Linked DNA regions of Saccharomyces cerevisiae S288C. The gene in region 2 interacts genetically with the main gene of each other region. Each region holds a gene or a part of one and is shown on either strand. Other genes may lie near its edges. The genes, in order: PRI2, SPT2, AAH1 and UBA3.

Region 1 (4,669 bases), on a different chromosome or scaffold from region 2:
CGTAGACCGCAGCGTTGCATTCTTCCCTTTTACCTAATATGAAGTTATCGTTCATTCCGCAACATTCTAACTTATTCCCGTGAGGGGTGGGCGTGCGATTGGAATTAGTCTTTACAATTTGTAAGCTCTACAGCAACTTATGGGTGGGCACGCACTGTCCCTAATATTTATCATCGCATCGTGCAAATCCGTCTACGCAGTATCTAACTTCGAGTGGGCTGATTTTGCATGTAACGTTATTGTGGCTGCTTTTTTAGTCTTCGAAAGAGCCGACCGCGTTTATCCTAGACGAAGGGGTGCCGTTTTAGGTCCACGGAAAGATAAAGACGATATCCATCAATAATATCGCACGAAGTCTAATCAGGGAGCGGTGCAAAATAGTCTTCTATACTTTTTAGTCACAGAATACCTGCATAAGGAAATATTAGATCTTCCCGGTTTTTTACTTCCGCTCTTGAAAACCGGATCCTCGAGGTTGCATCACGGCATTACCAAATCGGTGAGATACTGTCCCTCCCATGCGTTTTAAAGGCCAGCCACGTATCCAGAAAACGCAGCACCTGCATTTTTTGGTGGCGGAGGCTATGCTGGAAAAGGTAGTTCTTCCACTGCAGTAACTTCTGCCACAGTAAATTGGCGTGGATAGGCCCTGCAACATATTGCAGGTTTAAACGGAAAGTGTCCCCGCTTGTAATGGAAGAAAACGGTAAATTTTAATGAAGTGTACAGGCATAAAAGACAGGCGGTTAGTTGTTCTGTGTTGCCTGTCACAGAGGAACAGCGCGATAGCTTGCAGCCACAAAATTATAAGGTTTCTCTGGCCAGCTATTAAAGTATGAAAAAATTCGGACAATATACATATCTCGGACGTTTTCGGAGCAGTGCAGTCACTGGTATTGTACAGCGTTTATCGTTTCTCTTTTTTTTTTTTTTTCTCACTAAAGAAAATTTTTGACCATACTTACAGTAGACTAAATTACGTATACTATTAATCCTTTTTAGTTATCTCTTCGCTTTTTTCCTTTTCCCTTTCTGCACTAATGATTACCATTATTGAATAGTTTTTCCTTTTCCAGCTTCTGCTGTTTCTTTTGCAGTTGCCTTGATCTTTCGAAGTATAGGTTAGGATGCGCGATATGCGTTTGCTCGCCAATTTCCAAATCCGCTGATGCAGAGTTGTGTGTCATTTCAAACACTTTAGTGCAAGCAATTGTGTATTCACCTTTCTGGCAGGAATCCAGAACACTGATGATCTGCGCTTGGGTCAACTTCATAGAGCGCAATTCTGCAGATAGTCTCTCGTGACTCCAATCACGGAAAGGGCATCCATGATAATCTCCGCGCCCAGGTCTGGGCTTGGAAAGGATAGTGTGACAGTCCCATGGTTTGTAGTTGATTCTGTTACCTTCAAGACCGTAATTATGCCTGAAGCTGTAACGGTATTCTTTATTGAACTTCTCCATTGTCATGTTCCCATTTCTTGTAAATGCCTCAGACCAAAATTTTAACGCTTCATCAGCGCTCAGGCCGATACCTTTCAAAAACAGACTCAGTTGTTGTCTCCCATAATACCTCAAATGATGGTTCTTTTTAAGACCCTCCATCAGGTTTTTGATACATAGCGGATAGTTTGAGCTAATCTCTTCAGACCAGACACTTTGCGCATTAATCTCATCATCTACGTTCTCACTGAATTGGTTTGCCTTTTGCTGGTTGAAATCCGCGATAGTGTACCCCGACGAAAGATGATTTAGAATTGGTAACAACCGGTCATCCTCATTCAGTCTTGGTAAGTACTGGTACGTTTTTATTAACTCCTGGTTCAATTTGCTAGCAAACTCATTAGAAAGTAAATTCAATTGCTGGAATTGTGGTAAATATGCGTACCCGTCCTTCAAAAACACTAAACGGTTTCCTACCAGTTCTATCACATTTTCGAAAGGTAATTTTATGAATTTTTCCTGTTGGAAATACTGTTTTCTTTGATGTTCCTCGTTTAAATTCAATTGGAACTGTAGAGACGCAGAAACTGTTTGATACAACTGATGAGATAATTCGGCCTTTTCTTCATTTGAGATAAACTGTAGTAAGGGTAAGTCCAATGATTGAACAAATTTTGTTTGATCGGTGGAGGTTAGCATGTTAAATCTAATTTTGAACAAAAACGTTTCAGCCCTGACGAATTTTTCCCGCAGTTCTTTTGAACGACAAAAGCACAATCTTAAAATGAAATGAGAGTAGTAATCCTTTTTTCTGTCTTCTAAACTCTCTGTGTTGAAAGGCAGTAGTTTTTGGAACTGCGGCTTGATAATGGTTTCAATTTCTTTGATCGATTTGTTTCTTGAAAGGCAAGATTCGATCTCTAACAGAATTTTGAGACGATCGATTGCCCAGATCTCAAATTGTTCCAACGTTATTTCTCCCTGTGGTGGTAAATCGTAAAATGATAATTTAGACTCATACAGCCTAGCGTAAAGTTTTTTCTCTTCTTCAGATGAACTTGAACTTAAGATGATCTGGTTAGCTGCATTTGTGTTGCCTACGTCCAATTCGCTTTTGACAATATCATCGTATGAACTAAAATTCTTCCTTGAGGCAATTCTTCTTTTTGACTGCCTGAACATTTCTTCTCCTTATTGTGCTTTACCTGCTGTCACTGGTTGCTCCACCTGGGTAGTTATCAGTCCTGTCAAAGTTGTGCAAATTGGAGAGATGTAGATAGTAAAAAATTTACTTTTGCAAAATCACAGGATTTAATATCGAGTTTTACGCGATTCCCCGCGACGCGTAATTTCAAATCAAGTTAACTATAAATGAGCAGGAAAAAGCAAATAGAGTGAGCAGCAGATATGTAAGGCAATATTGAAACAAGAAGAGACCTGTCGTATCACCTTTGGCCTGATAAAAACAGTGTTTCCATGTCTGTCTGTAGCAGCGGAAACAATCCTACGCCGTGCTTCTGGGCTCTTGATGATGTAAGATGTTCCGTTTCATGAACGCACTGGATCTCAGCTTATAACTGTTGGTTCAGAAAAATTCAATCATTTATTTAAAGAATGTACCGTACGATGAATATACGCTATAAATGCTTCCATATATGTATAAGTGTATCGTACTATATTCGTAGCGGTGTCCCGTCACCCGGTTTTGCACCCGTTCGAGGCGCGATTTAATTTCGTACATCCAGAAAGAAAACTGGCAGATGGAAATAAAGCTCGGATTTCATGATGATCATAGGTACTCTTTGTATAATGGGCTCATCTATTATATATTCACTGTTACTGTGTTGATACTCATATTTTATAAGCAGCTTAATAGGTGTGCGAACGGGAGGATTTTTGGTAAAAAGAGGCTTAAATTACAAGATACGAAAGGGTCAAAACGCTAGGGAAACCTTTCCAGGACATATAATAGTGGATACAACAAAATACACACCACTTTTTTTCTGAGCTTTCTTTCTTTTCAGTCTGTTTTAAAAACGAACACATAAAAATGCTAGTAAATAAAGTGATAGGGTTACTGGGTGTACTCTTCGCAACAAGATTTACAAATGCCGTCGAATTGGATCTAGACAACTACGAATCTTTGCAAAATGCTACTTCACTAATTGCCTACGGTTTAATGGATTATTACACTGGTAATCAGTATGGTAAGACGGTCGGTATGTTTTCAGATCCGTACTATTGGTGGGAAGCCGGTGGTGCCTGGGGCTGTATGCTAGATTACTGGTTTTTCATGGATAACGACACCTATAATGATGAAATTATAGCAGCAATGATACATCAAGCTGGTGATGATAATGACTATATTCCGCTAAATCAATCTACCACTGAAGGTAATGATGACCAAGCCTTTTGGGGTATTGCTGCTATGACTGCCGCGGAGAGAAACTTTACTAATCCTCCCGAGAATGAGCCTCAATGGCTATATTTAGCACAGGCTGTTTTCAATACCATGGCTTTGCGTTGGGATGCCGATTCCTGTGGTGGTGGTTTGAGGTGGCAAATTTTCGTTTGGAACTCTGGTTACGATTACAAGAACACCGTTTCTAACGGTGCCTTGTTTCACATAGCTGCAAGATTAGCAAGATATACAGGTAATCAAACATATGTTGACTGGGCCGAAAAAGTTTACGAGTGGATGGTCGGTGTGAACTTAATTTCTAATGGTACCTATAAGTATGTTTACGATGGTGTCAGCATTGATGATAATTGCACCAAAGTGACCTCATATCAATGGACATATAATCAAGGTTTGCTGTTGGCTGGCTCTGCCTACCTTTACAACTTTACGGGATCAGACCTCTGGCACACAAGAACCAAAGAGTTTTTGAACGCTTCCCAAGTGTTTTTCCATGATGGTATTGTGTATGAAGCTGCTTGTCAAGGTCCAAATTCTTGTAATACAGATCAACGTTCCTTCAAAGCCTATTTTGCCCGTTTCTTAGGTGTCACTGCACAACTAGTGCCAGAAACTAGGAACCAAATTATGTCTTGGTTGAATACATCTGCCATTGCGGCCGCGAAATCATGTTCTGGAGGTACTGATGGTCATACCTGTGGATTGAATTGGTTCAATGGGACTTGGGATGGTATGTATGGTCTAGGTGAACAAATGTCCGCCTTAGAAGTAATGGTCAACACGAGGGCCTTAGATAAACCCGCACCAT
Region 2 (4,146 bases):
GAAGAAGAAGAGTCAGAAGGAAGAACCAGCCCCTACCAGATGCCAAGAAGAAGTTTAAAACAGGGTTGAATGAATTGCCACGAGAAAGCGTTGTTACTGTAAACTTAGATTCTTCAGATGATGGCGTCGTTACGGTACCGACGGATGATAGTGTAGAGGAAATCCAGTCATCTGAAGAAGATTATGATTCGGAGGAATTTGAAGACGTGACAGATGGAAATGAGGTGGCCGGTGTAGAAGATATATCTGTTGAAATTAAGCCCTCTAGTAAAAGGAATAGTGATGCTAGAAGGACAAGCCGCAACGTTTGTTCTAATGAAGAACGGAAAAGGAGAAAATATTTCCACATGTTGTATCTAGTTTGCTTGATGGTTCATGGATTTATACGAAATGAATGGATTAACAGCAAGCGCTTGTCTAGAAAACTGAGCAACTTAGTTCCTGAGAAAGTGTTTGAGCTACTGCATCCTCAGAAAGATGAGGAACTCCCACTTAGGAGTACTAGGAAATTATTAGATGGGTTGAAGAAATGCATGGAGTTATGGCAAAAACACTGGAAGATCACTAAAAAATATGATAATGTGGGACTTTATATGAGAACCTGGAAAGAAATTGAAATGAGCGCCAATAACAAAAGAAAATTCAAGACGTTGAAAAGATCTGACTTTTTAAGGGCCGTCAGTAAAGGTCACGGAGATCCTGATATTTCAGTGCAAGGTTTCGTTGCGATGCTCAGGGCTTGTAATGTTAACGCACGACTTATCATGTCATGTCAACCGCCAGATTTTACCAATATGAAGATTGACACTTCTTTGAATGGAAACAATGCGTACAAAGATATGGTCAAGTATCCGATTTTTTGGTGTGAAGTGTGGGACAAATTCTCTAAGAAATGGATAACTGTTGACCCAGTAAATCTCAAAACCATTGAACAGGTCAGACTTCATTCCAAGTTGGCACCGAAAGGCGTGGCGTGCTGCGAAAGAAATATGTTGAGGTACGTGATTGCTTACGATCGGAAGTATGGCTGTAGAGATGTAACTCGAAGATATGCCCAATGGATGAACTCTAAAGTAAGAAAAAGAAGAATTACTAAAGATGACTTTGGTGAGAAATGGTTCAGAAAAGTGATAACAGCACTTCACCATAGAAAGAGAACCAAAATTGATGATTACGAAGATCAATATTTTTTTCAGAGAGATGAAAGTGAAGGCATACCAGATTCGGTGCAGGATTTGAAAAACCACCCATATTATGTTTTAGAACAAGATATCAAACAGACTCAAATTGTAAAGCCAGGATGTAAAGAGTGTGGATATTTAAAAGTACATGGAAAAGTTGGGAAGGTTTTGAAAGTTTATGCAAAAAGAGATATTGCGGATTTGAAAAGTGCTAGACAATGGTACATGAACGGCCGAATTTTAAAAACTGGTAGCAGGTGTAAAAAGGTGATAAAGAGGACAGTTGGAAGGCCTAAGGGCGAAGCAGAAGAAGAAGATGAAAGATTATATAGCTTTGAAGACACAGAATTATACATCCCTCCATTAGCCAGTGCGAGCGGTGAAATAACCAAGAATACATTTGGAAACATCGAAGTTTTTGCACCAACGATGATACCTGGTAACTGTTGTTTGGTTGAGAATCCTGTGGCAATTAAAGCTGCTAGGTTTTTGGGGGTGGAATTTGCACCTGCTGTAACTTCTTTTAAGTTTGAACGCGGCAGTACAGTTAAGCCAGTTTTAAGTGGCATTGTTGTTGCAAAGTGGCTCAGAGAAGCTATTGAAACCGCTATTGATGGAATAGAGTTTATTCAAGAGGATGATAATAGGAAGGAACATTTGCTTGGTGCTTTGGAGAGTTGGAATACTTTACTGCTAAAACTGCGTATTCGTAGCAAGCTGAACTCCACATATGGTAAAATTGCCGAGGAAGAACCTAACGTTACGAAGGAACAGAATATTGCGGACAATCACGATAATACGGAGACTTTTATGGGAGGTGGGTTCCTACCAGGTATAGCAAACCACGAAGCAAGGCCGTATAGTGAACCTTCAGAGCCAGAAGATAGTTTAGATTATGTTTCTGTTGACAAAGCGGAGGAAAGTGCTACAGACGACGATGTCGGGGAGGATTATTCGGATTTTATGAAAGAACTAGAGATGTCAGAGGAATCAGACTGAAATGAGGCTGAAACGGTTTGAATAATTAGGAAAGTATGTTTTTAATAAAGAAATTCTATGTTCAGGAATTTTGTATATACTTTGTAATGAATGAGAACTTAGTTGGCTTCAAACTTTTTCGTTTAACATGATTATTTTTCTTGTTCGACTAAGATATTCCCACATGGACAAGTGCCACAGATTAATATATGAATACAATAAAATAACTAGTGTAATTTGAAAATAAAAGTTGATGAGAGGGACAGGGACTTGAGTCCTATTCAAAGTGAAATATTTTAGTTATGAGTTTTCTTTCCAAACTTTCCCAAATACGAAAATCAACGACTGCATCAAAAGCCCAAGTGCAAGATCCATTACCCAAGAAGAATGACGAAGAGTATTCCTTGTTACCCAAAAATTACATAAGAGACGAAGATCCTGCAGTAAAAAGATTGAAGGAGCTGAGGCGGCAGGAACTGTTAAAGAATGGTGCTTTGGCTAAAAAAAGTGGTGTAAAACGGAAACGTGGCACCTCATCTGGATCTGAGAAAAAGAAAATAGAAAGGAATGACGATGATGAAGGTGGCCTTGGAATTAGGTTTAAGAGGTCTATTGGAGCAAGTCATGCGCCACTCAAGCCAGTTGTAAGGAAGAAACCTGAACCTATCAAAAAGATGTCATTTGAAGAGCTAATGAAACAAGCGGAAAATAATGAGAAACAGCCCCCAAAAGTTAAGTCATCGGAACCCGTAACTAAGGAACGCCCACATTTTAACAAGCCAGGTTTCAAAAGTTCAAAAAGACCACAAAAGAAAGCATCCCCTGGCGCAACATTGCGTGGAGTATCTTCTGGAGGCAATAGCATAAAATCATCAGACTCACCCAAGCCCGTCAAGCTCAACTTGCCCACAAATGGATTTGCTCAACCTAATAGGAGATTAAAAGAAAAGTTAGAATCTAGAAAACAGAAATCAAGATACCAGGATGACTATGATGAAGAAGATAACGATATGGATGATTTTATAGAAGACGATGAAGATGAAGGTTACCACAGCAAATCGAAACACAGCAATGGTCCCGGATATGATCGTGACGAAATTTGGGCTATGTTCAATAGAGGCAAGAAGCGGTCAGAATACGATTACGATGAGCTTGAGGATGATGATATGGAAGCAAATGAGATGGAAATCTTGGAAGAGGAGGAAATGGCAAGAAAAATGGCAAGGTTAGAGGATAAACGTGAGGAAGCTTGGTTAAAAAAGCATGAAGAGGAGAAGAGACGCCGTAAGAAGGGCATACGCTAAGGAATATTGATATATGTTTTGATATATGGACGTGAAATGACTAATGAAGTCGTAGAGAGTTTGGGAACTGTTTCGAGGCACTGTTTCACTTCTTACATTCATTTTCATACCCTTTGTAATTGCGTTTTCCATTTATCCAGTTTGCCTGTCCGATTTTCAAACGTACAGTGATGATATGCATCAGTTGGGTTAGAACATTTATATTGTGTATCGCCCATAATTCTATAAACTTTACTATGTAAAAATAAAAATGAACCTTCACTATTCTTTCAAGACGGACTGAAAATTTAAAGACTTGGTTGTTGCAGTTGATCGATTATACAAGACTAACAATTCCAGTATCATTTTTGCCTTAATTTGAGACCTTTTTCAACAAGATTCGCGGCAACGTAGTTGTATTTTTTTTTTTCCACAACCCGTTTCCTTACAAAAGCATTCGGAAACTAAACATAAATATGGACCAGCTTTACAAGAGCTATGGTATGTTCATATTATTAGGATATATTAGGTGAGATATTAAAAAATGAAACAAATTGTGTCACCAGTTAGATAGGATTCAAGTAGTCATTAAAATAGAAACAAGCGTTTAGGGTATGCGTTAAAAGAAACTCTAGCAACCTCCAATTGCCAGTGAAAAACTTCCCGAGAAATACTACAACGACAGTGATACATCATACACTTAA
Region 3 (3,949 bases), on a different chromosome or scaffold from region 2:
CAACATGGGATGGATCGGTGTGGCTTCAGCAGGTGTGTGGATTATGGTCCCAGGTATCGGTTTATTATATTCTGGTTTATCCAGGAAAAAGCATGCTTTATCCTTGCTTTGGGCCTCGATGATGGCTTCCGCCGTGTGTATTTTCCAATGGTTTTTCTGGGGATACTCATTAGCTTTCTCACACAACACTAGAGGTAACGGTTTTATTGGTACCTTGGAATTCTTTGGGTTTCGTAACGTTTTAGGAGCCCCATCTAGTGTCAGTTCTCTTCCCGATATACTGTTTGCCGTTTACCAAGGTATGTTTGCCGCAGTCACCGGTGCCCTAATGCTAGGTGGTGCCTGCGAGAGGGCAAGGTTGTTTCCTATGATGGTGTTCTTGTTTTTATGGATGACTATTGTTTATTGTCCTATTGCATGCTGGGTCTGGAATGCCGAGGGTTGGTTGGTCAAATTGGGTAGCTTGGACTATGCAGGTGGTTTATGTGTCCATTTAACATCTGGACATGGTGGTCTAGTTTACGCTTTGATACTGGGTAAGCGTAATGACCCTGTTACACGTAAAGGGATGCCCAAGTACAAACCACATTCCGTCACCTCGGTGGTTTTAGGCACAGTGTTCTTATGGTTTGGTTGGATGTTCTTTAACGGAGGCTCTGCAGGTAATGCAACTATACGAGCATGGTACTCTATTATGTCCACAAACTTAGCTGCTGCTTGCGGTGGCTTGACATGGATGGTTATCGATTATTTCAGATGCGGAAGAAAGTGGACTACAGTTGGTTTGTGTTCAGGTATCATCGCTGGCCTAGTGGGTATCACCCCAGCCGCCGGGTTCGTGCCAATCTGGTCAGCCGTTGTCATTGGTGTGGTTACTGGTGCAGGATGTAACCTTGCTGTTGACTTAAAGAGTCTATTGCGCATCGATGATGGTCTAGATTGTTACTCTATCCATGGTGTGGGTGGTTGTATTGGTTCTGTATTAACTGGTATCTTTGCTGCAGACTATGTAAATGCCACTGCAGGCTCTTACATTAGTCCAATTGATGGTGGCTGGATCAATCATCACTATAAACAAGTTGGTTATCAATTAGCAGGTATATGCGCTGCACTAGCCTGGACTGTTACTGTCACATCTATCTTGCTTCTAACTATGAATGCCATTCCATTTTTAAAACTAAGATTAAGTGCTGATGAGGAAGAATTAGGTACCGACGCTGCTCAAATTGGTGAATTTACATACGAGGAATCCACTGCTTACATCCCAGAACCAATCAGATCTAAAACATCGGCACAAATGCCACCTCCTCATGAAAACATTGATGATAAGATTGTGGGTAACACAGACGCAGAAAAGAATTCTACGCCTTCCGACGCTTCTTCTACTAAGAACACTGACCATATAGTATAATGATATACTCAAGCAGACTATGATTTTATGTTTAATCTTTATGTAACGCTTCATTTAATAATTTTATTTTTAATATTTGATATATTTTCTTTTTTTGATAACTCCGAATGATGAGGGGAGACGTTAGTATTACTTCTCTTGTCTTATGTTATTATCATAATCGATGACTTTAACTGTGCACACTATAATATACAGCATCTCCAGAGCATGATAGCAAGAAATTTTCTTTAAGAAAGCCTCTATATACCCTATATATGCTGTTAACAGGAAAAGAGCACAAGGTTTATTTTGCTTTGGTTGCAAATTTTCATCGCTTATAGAAGACATATTTTGATGTAAAAACCTTGATATACTTCCTTTTTGCCTTATCTTTCACTGTTTCCATCTCTTTTCTTTTTTTTTTTTTTTTTTTTTTTTTTTTTTTTTTTTTTTTTTGAATCTTAAAATTCTCGAAACTGCACTGAAATGGCGCAGGAAACTGACCTCATCGCATGCCAACGAAGATTGAAAAAAATTAACATATAAGGCTTATGAAAGCGACATCTTTTGCAAATGAATAATTGACAAGCAGGCCTGTGTATTTATAGTTATTTTGAAATAATAACTACCATTAGAACTAACAAAAGAAAAGAAAAAAAAAATAATGGTTTCTGTGGAGTTTTTACAGGAGTTACCAAAATGTGAGCATCACTTGCATTTGGAAGGTACTCTAGAACCTGACCTATTGTTCCCATTAGCTAAAAGAAACGATATAATTCTACCTGAAGGTTTTCCTAAATCGGTCGAGGAATTAAACGAAAAGTATAAGAAGTTTCGTGATCTGCAGGATTTCTTAGATTACTATTATATTGGTACTAATGTCTTGATTAGTGAACAAGATTTCTTTGATTTGGCGTGGGCCTATTTTAAAAAAGTTCACAAACAAGGCTTGGTCCATGCTGAAGTGTTTTACGACCCTCAGTCACATACATCTAGGGGCATCTCCATAGAAACAGTCACTAAAGGTTTCCAAAGAGCTTGTGACAAAGCCTTCTCTGAATTTGGTATTACATCCAAGCTAATTATGTGTCTGTTAAGACACATTGAACCAGAGGAATGTTTGAAAACTATCGAAGAAGCTACCCCATTTATTAAAGATGGTACTATCTCTGCCTTAGGATTAGATTCTGCTGAGAAACCATTTCCCCCACATTTATTTGTTGAATGTTACGGAAAGGCCGCCTCATTGAATAAAGATTTAAAACTAACTGCACACGCAGGTGAAGAAGGCCCCGCTCAATTCGTCTCGGATGCTTTAGACTTGTTGCAAGTAACAAGAATCGATCACGGTATCAACAGTCAATACGACGAGGAGTTATTGGATAGGTTGTCGCGCGACCAGACCATGCTAACTATTTGTCCTCTCTCCAACGTGAAGCTACAAGTAGTCCAATCCGTTTCAGAGTTACCACTACAAAAGTTTCTTGACAGAGATGTTCCATTTTCTTTAAATTCTGATGACCCCGCCTATTTTGGTGGTTATATCTTAGATGTCTACACTCAAGTTTCGAAAGATTTCCCACACTGGGACCATGAAACATGGGGTCGTATCGCTAAGAACGCCATTAAAGGTTCATGGTGTGACGATAAAAGAAAGAACGGTTTGTTAAGTAGAGTGGACGAAGTAGTCACTAAATATTCGCATTAGTACCATTTGCAAGACATTGTATAATATTTTTGTTGAAAGTCTTTTTCGATTCATAAGCGCTTTTTTGTAAATTTATAACACTATGTGTATGCACAAATTTCATTCGATGTTTTTGATGCTTTTTACATCCCCTTTTGTGTGGGAAAGGATACAATAGAATTCTACAAACTTATTTGAGTGATTATACGAGCATTAGCTGGACCTTTTGTATTTCACGAGATTACAATTCGGGAACTATCAAAGTACACGTTAAAATTCAGCTCGGGTATGTTAAGTACTAGTAATTACCTCTGGTACCTACTGACGTAATTCCCACCCTTGGGACCTTGCGGAAGCGCCTGAGTATTGCTCTTTCTATTTCCGTTGTACCTTTGATTTTCATTGGCTCTATGGGCAGCACCGCTATCTCGTGTATTTCTATAATCTTGCGTTTGAAATTTGTTTCTAATTGTTTCATCCTTCTTGAATCTTTTATTCGGCTTTTCTTCATTTTCTGAAGGCGAGTCGCGCTTGTAAGATGAAGCTTGGTAAGGGTTGGCTTTGCTGCTGTCTTTGCCCTCTTGAAATGGCTTTTCAGGAAACCGTAATTGTGAACGTTGTGAACTGTTTTTCTTATACTCTTCACGTAAGCGGTTATCCCTTTGATCAAAACCATCGCCCCTGTCCGGACCTGTGGGTCTAAGTGCCCTACTTCTATCATTATATGTTTTACTTTTACTAGGTCTAGTTGGTAGTTCTGACCTTTTATGTGCATAACTACTGATTGGCTTAATATTTTTGGGTGCAGAACGATCATTGCTTGGTCCTCTATAGTTGGAACTACCATAACCATCTTTGCCTCCAGCATTTCC
Region 4 (4,009 bases), on a different chromosome or scaffold from region 2:
CTGCTACTTACGCTAGGAGCTGCCGCAGCTGCAAAGCCGACGTCGGAGAGGCAGGTGATCTTCGGCTCGGCCGACAAATCCCCTGGATATCATTGGCCTGTCGAGGTATCGGCCGCGTGGAACTACCGGGAATTACTATGCAAAACAATTGGAAATCTGGTAGGAAAACCTTGTTCTAGAACTTGGCGATTGCTGACAAAGAAGAAAAGGGCCTATTGTTGCTGCCTCTTTTGTTGTTCTTCCTCGTATTGTCTTGCCGGTGTTCTTTGTGTCTTTTGTGTGTAGGTTCTTACTATTATAGTGCTCTTTGCTATTATATTTTCTTCGTTTTCACTTTGCGTAATGTAACGGTCTTAAACAAAGTTTTTTTTTTTTCGCTCTTGCATTTTCCTTTTCTGCTCTATCTTATTTGCTAATTGTAGTTTCAGAAGTTTTACTTAAATATAGCACTATTTTCCAGTTTTAATGTTTCTTCTCATTGCTTTCTTTTATAATTTTCGCATATAATTATACATTTACGGTGTCTTAACTCTCCCTCTTCACCCCTCATTATTCCAGAAAATACTAATACTTCTTCACACAAAAGAACGCAGTTAGACAATCAACAATGAATCCTAAATCCTCTACACCTAAGATTCCAAGACCCAAGAACGCATTTATTCTGTTCAGACAGCACTACCACAGGATCTTAATAGACGAATGGACCGCTCAAGGTGTGGAAATACCCCATAATTCAAACATTTCTAAAATTATTGGTACGAAGTGGAAGGGCTTACAACCGGAAGATAAGGCACACTGGGAAAATCTAGCGGAGAAGGAGAAACTAGAACATGAAAGGAAGTATCCTGAATACAAATACAAGCCGGTAAGAAAGTCTAAGAAGAAGCAACTACTTTTGAAGGAAATCGAGCAACAGCAGCAGCAACAACAGAAAGAACAGCAGCAGCAGAAACAGTCACAACCGCAATTACAACAGCCCTTTAACAACAATATAGTTCTTATGAAAAGAGCACATTCTCTTTCACCATCTTCCTCGGTGTCAAGCTCGAACAGCTATCAGTTCCAATTGAACAATGATCTTAAGAGGTTGCCTATTCCTTCTGTTAATACTTCTAACTATATGGTCTCCAGATCTTTAAGTGGACTACCTTTGACGCATGATAAGACGGCAAGAGACCTACCACAGCTGTCATCTCAACTAAATTCTATTCCATATTACTCAGCTCCACACGACCCTTCAACGAGACATCATTACCTCAACGTCGCTCAAGCTCAACCAAGGGCTAACTCGACCCCTCAATTGCCCTTTATTTCATCCATTATCAACAACAGCAGTCAAACACCGGTAACTACAACTACCACATCCACAACAACTGCGACATCTTCTCCTGGGAAATTCTCCTCTTCTCCGAACTCCTCTGTACTGGAGAACAACAGATTAAACAGTATCAACAATTCAAATCAATATTTACCTCCCCCTCTATTACCTTCTCTGCAAGATTTTCAACTGGATCAGTACCAGCAGCTAAAGCAGATGGGACCAACTTATATTGTCAAACCACTGTCTCACACCAGGAACAATCTATTGTCCACAACTACCCCTACGCATCATCACATTCCTCATATACCAAACCAAAACATTCCTCTACATCAAATTATAAACTCAAGCAACACTGAGGTCACCGCTAAAACTAGCCTAGTTTCTCCGAAATGATTTTTTTTTTCCATTTCTTCTTTCCGTTATATTATATTATACTATATTCCCTTTAACTAAAAATTTATGCATTTGGCTCCTGTTTAATAAAAGTTTAAATCGCCTCAAAAGAACAATTGAAAAATATGTAAAATAACAGCAAATAAAAGTCAAAATTAAAACAAAGTACCCAGAGACAAAAAAGAAAGAAAAGAAAAAAGAAACAGTCTACAAATTCTATTTGAATATATAAAATTATATTCTCAATTTTCACGTATATATTCACCTCACAAATAATATCATTCCTTTAAAAAAAAATATGTATTATTGTATAATGTTTCAGCATAGTCGTTTTTTAAGCCCTTTTTTTTAAACTTAAAAAACAAATCAATGAGATATTGTATACCTATATTATCGATAATAAAGCGACGAGGATGGACTGCAAGATATTGGTGTTAGGCGCAGGTGGTCTAGGATGCGAAATCCTGAAGAATTTGACAATGTTAAGCTTTGTTAAACAGGTTCATATTGTAGATATAGACACAATCGAGCTAACCAACCTTAATAGACAATTTCTTTTTTGTGATAAGGACATAGGCAAACCGAAAGCTCAAGTGGCAGCCCAGTATGTAAACACGCGGTTCCCTCAATTGGAAGTTGTGGCGCACGTACAGGACCTGACCACTTTGCCCCCGAGCTTTTACAAAGACTTCCAGTTCATAATCTCGGGGCTGGACGCCATTGAACCTCGTCGCTTCATCAATGAGACTCTCGTGAAGCTTACCTTGGAGTCCAATTATGAAATTTGCATCCCGTTCATAGATGGTGGAACAGAGGGGCTCAAGGGACATGTAAAAACAATCATTCCAGGCATCACTGCATGCTGGGAGTGCTCCATTGATACCTTGCCCTCGCAGCAGGATACTGTGCCAATGTGTACAATCGCCAACAATCCTCGCTGCATTGAGCATGTTGTGGAGTATGTCTCAACTATACAATACCCTGATTTAAATATTGAGTCTACGGCGGATATGGAATTTCTGCTGGAGAAGTGCTGCGAAAGGGCTGCCCAATTTAGCATCTCAACAGAAAAATTATCAACAAGTTTTATCCTGGGTATAATAAAGAGTATCATACCTAGTGTAAGCACTACGAATGCGATGGTTGCAGCGACATGCTGTACGCAGATGGTTAAGATTTATAATGATTTAATCGACCTGGAAAACGGCAATAATTTCACTTTGATTAACTGCTCAGAAGGGTGTTTTATGTACAGTTTCAAGTTCGAGCGGTTACCCGACTGTACTGTTTGTTCAAATTCCAATTCCAACTAGTATTACTAATGAATAATACCATCCGCCGGTGTCACTTGTTTAAACATCTTGCAAGTAAGTCGAGATCCTAGAGAGCCTTGTACATGTGATTGCACAGTAAAGAAGGTATGCAGGCTAAATTATTGTTTACCAGACTAAACTTTAGACGTCCCTCCACAACTTTACGCCAGTTTCCCCTAACATGTTTTTTATTTCATAGCAAAGCATTTTACTCGGATCTGGTCACTAAGGAGCCGTTGATCACACCGAAAAGAATAATAAATAAGACGCCTGGGTTAAACTTATCTATTTCTGAGAGGGCTTCCAACAGACTAGCTGAGATCTACCGCAATAGTAAGGAAAATTTAAGAATTAGTGTGGAAAGTGGTGGATGTCACGGTTTCCAGTACAATCTAACTCTAGAACCCGCTACCAAGCCAGATATTAAGAATGATGTCAAAGACAAGGAGTTTTCAGACGACCTTGACGATGATGATTCCAAGGATATAATATACGTGTTACCCGAAGATAAGGGTCGAGTGATAATTGATAGTAAATCACTAAACATTTTGAATAACACTACACTGACATACACTAATGAGTTGATCGGTTCTTCGTTCAAAATCATCAATGGTAGCCTAAAAAGTAGTTGTGGTTGTGGAAGTAGTTTTGATATTGAAAATTAAGCTGTATTATATTCATCCCTGTATATAGCATGCCCAGCTGCCAAGCATTTTTTTACTTAATTGTCTCTATTATATATTTGAAAACCTAGCAAGAGCATTACGGGATAAAACGCTGCGGCGTTCGCATTATTAATTTGTATTCAAACGACTAATTAAAACTATCTTACAGTTCGTAAAACTTCATAAGTTCGACCATATCTCTATCCTTATTGTCATTCCTTAACATTTTCATTCGAGAACTTCCTTCCATCTCATATATCCAATACTGATAGTTCTCTTCATTATACATTTCAACAAGATCATGTTCACGTATAAAT

What was found.
Region 1: mutations in SPT2 (region 2) and PRI2 together harm fitness more than expected from each alone (negative genetic interaction), as found in Saccharomyces cerevisiae (2 studies listed by BioGRID).
Region 3: mutations in SPT2 (region 2) and AAH1 together harm fitness more than expected from each alone (negative genetic interaction), as found in Saccharomyces cerevisiae (2 studies listed by BioGRID).
Region 4: mutations in SPT2 (region 2) and UBA3 together harm fitness more than expected from each alone (negative genetic interaction), as found in Saccharomyces cerevisiae (2 studies listed by BioGRID).

What each region holds. Positions count from the first base shown.
Region 1 is NC_001143.9:351,448-356,116, reverse strand, and holds PRI2 (DNA primase subunit PRI2), read right to left. Parts: upstream 2,625-4,669; coding exon 1,038-2,624; downstream 1-1,037. Other genes in the region: DCW1 (putative mannan endo-1,6-alpha-mannosidase), read left to right, coding at 3,493-4,669. UniProt on the Saccharomyces cerevisiae protein: DNA primase is the polymerase that synthesizes small RNA primers for the Okazaki fragments made during discontinuous DNA replication. In a complex with DNA polymerase alpha (DNA polymerase alpha:primase) constitutes a replicative polymerase.
Region 2 is NC_001137.3:498,664-502,809, reverse strand, and holds SPT2 (Spt2p), read left to right. Parts: upstream 1-2,461; coding exon 2,462-3,463; downstream 3,464-4,146. Other genes in the region: RAD4 (Rad4p), read left to right, coding at 1-2,180. UniProt on the Saccharomyces cerevisiae protein: Histone chaperone that stabilizes pre-existing histone tetramers and regulates replication-independent histone exchange on chromatin.
Region 3 is NC_001146.8:357,542-361,490, forward strand, and holds AAH1 (adenine deaminase), read left to right. Parts: upstream 1-2,054; coding exon 2,055-3,098; downstream 3,099-3,949. Other genes in the region: ammonium permease MEP2, read left to right, coding at 1-1,411; YNL140C (uncharacterized protein), read right to left, coding at 3,376-3,945; THO2 (Tho2p), read right to left, coding at 3,383-3,949. UniProt on the Saccharomyces cerevisiae protein: Catalyzes the hydrolytic deamination of adenine to hypoxanthine. Plays an important role in the purine salvage pathway and in nitrogen catabolism.
Region 4 is NC_001148.4:679,086-683,094, forward strand, and holds UBA3 (NEDD8-activating protein UBA3), read left to right. Parts: upstream 1-2,127; coding exon 2,128-3,027; downstream 3,028-4,009. Other genes in the region: YPR064W (uncharacterized protein), read left to right, coding at 1-285; ROX1 (Rox1p), read left to right, coding at 608-1,714; ISA2 (Isa2p), read left to right, coding at 3,135-3,692; HOS1 (histone deacetylase), read right to left, coding at 3,856-4,009. UniProt on the Saccharomyces cerevisiae protein: Catalytic subunit of the dimeric UBA3-ULA1 E1 enzyme.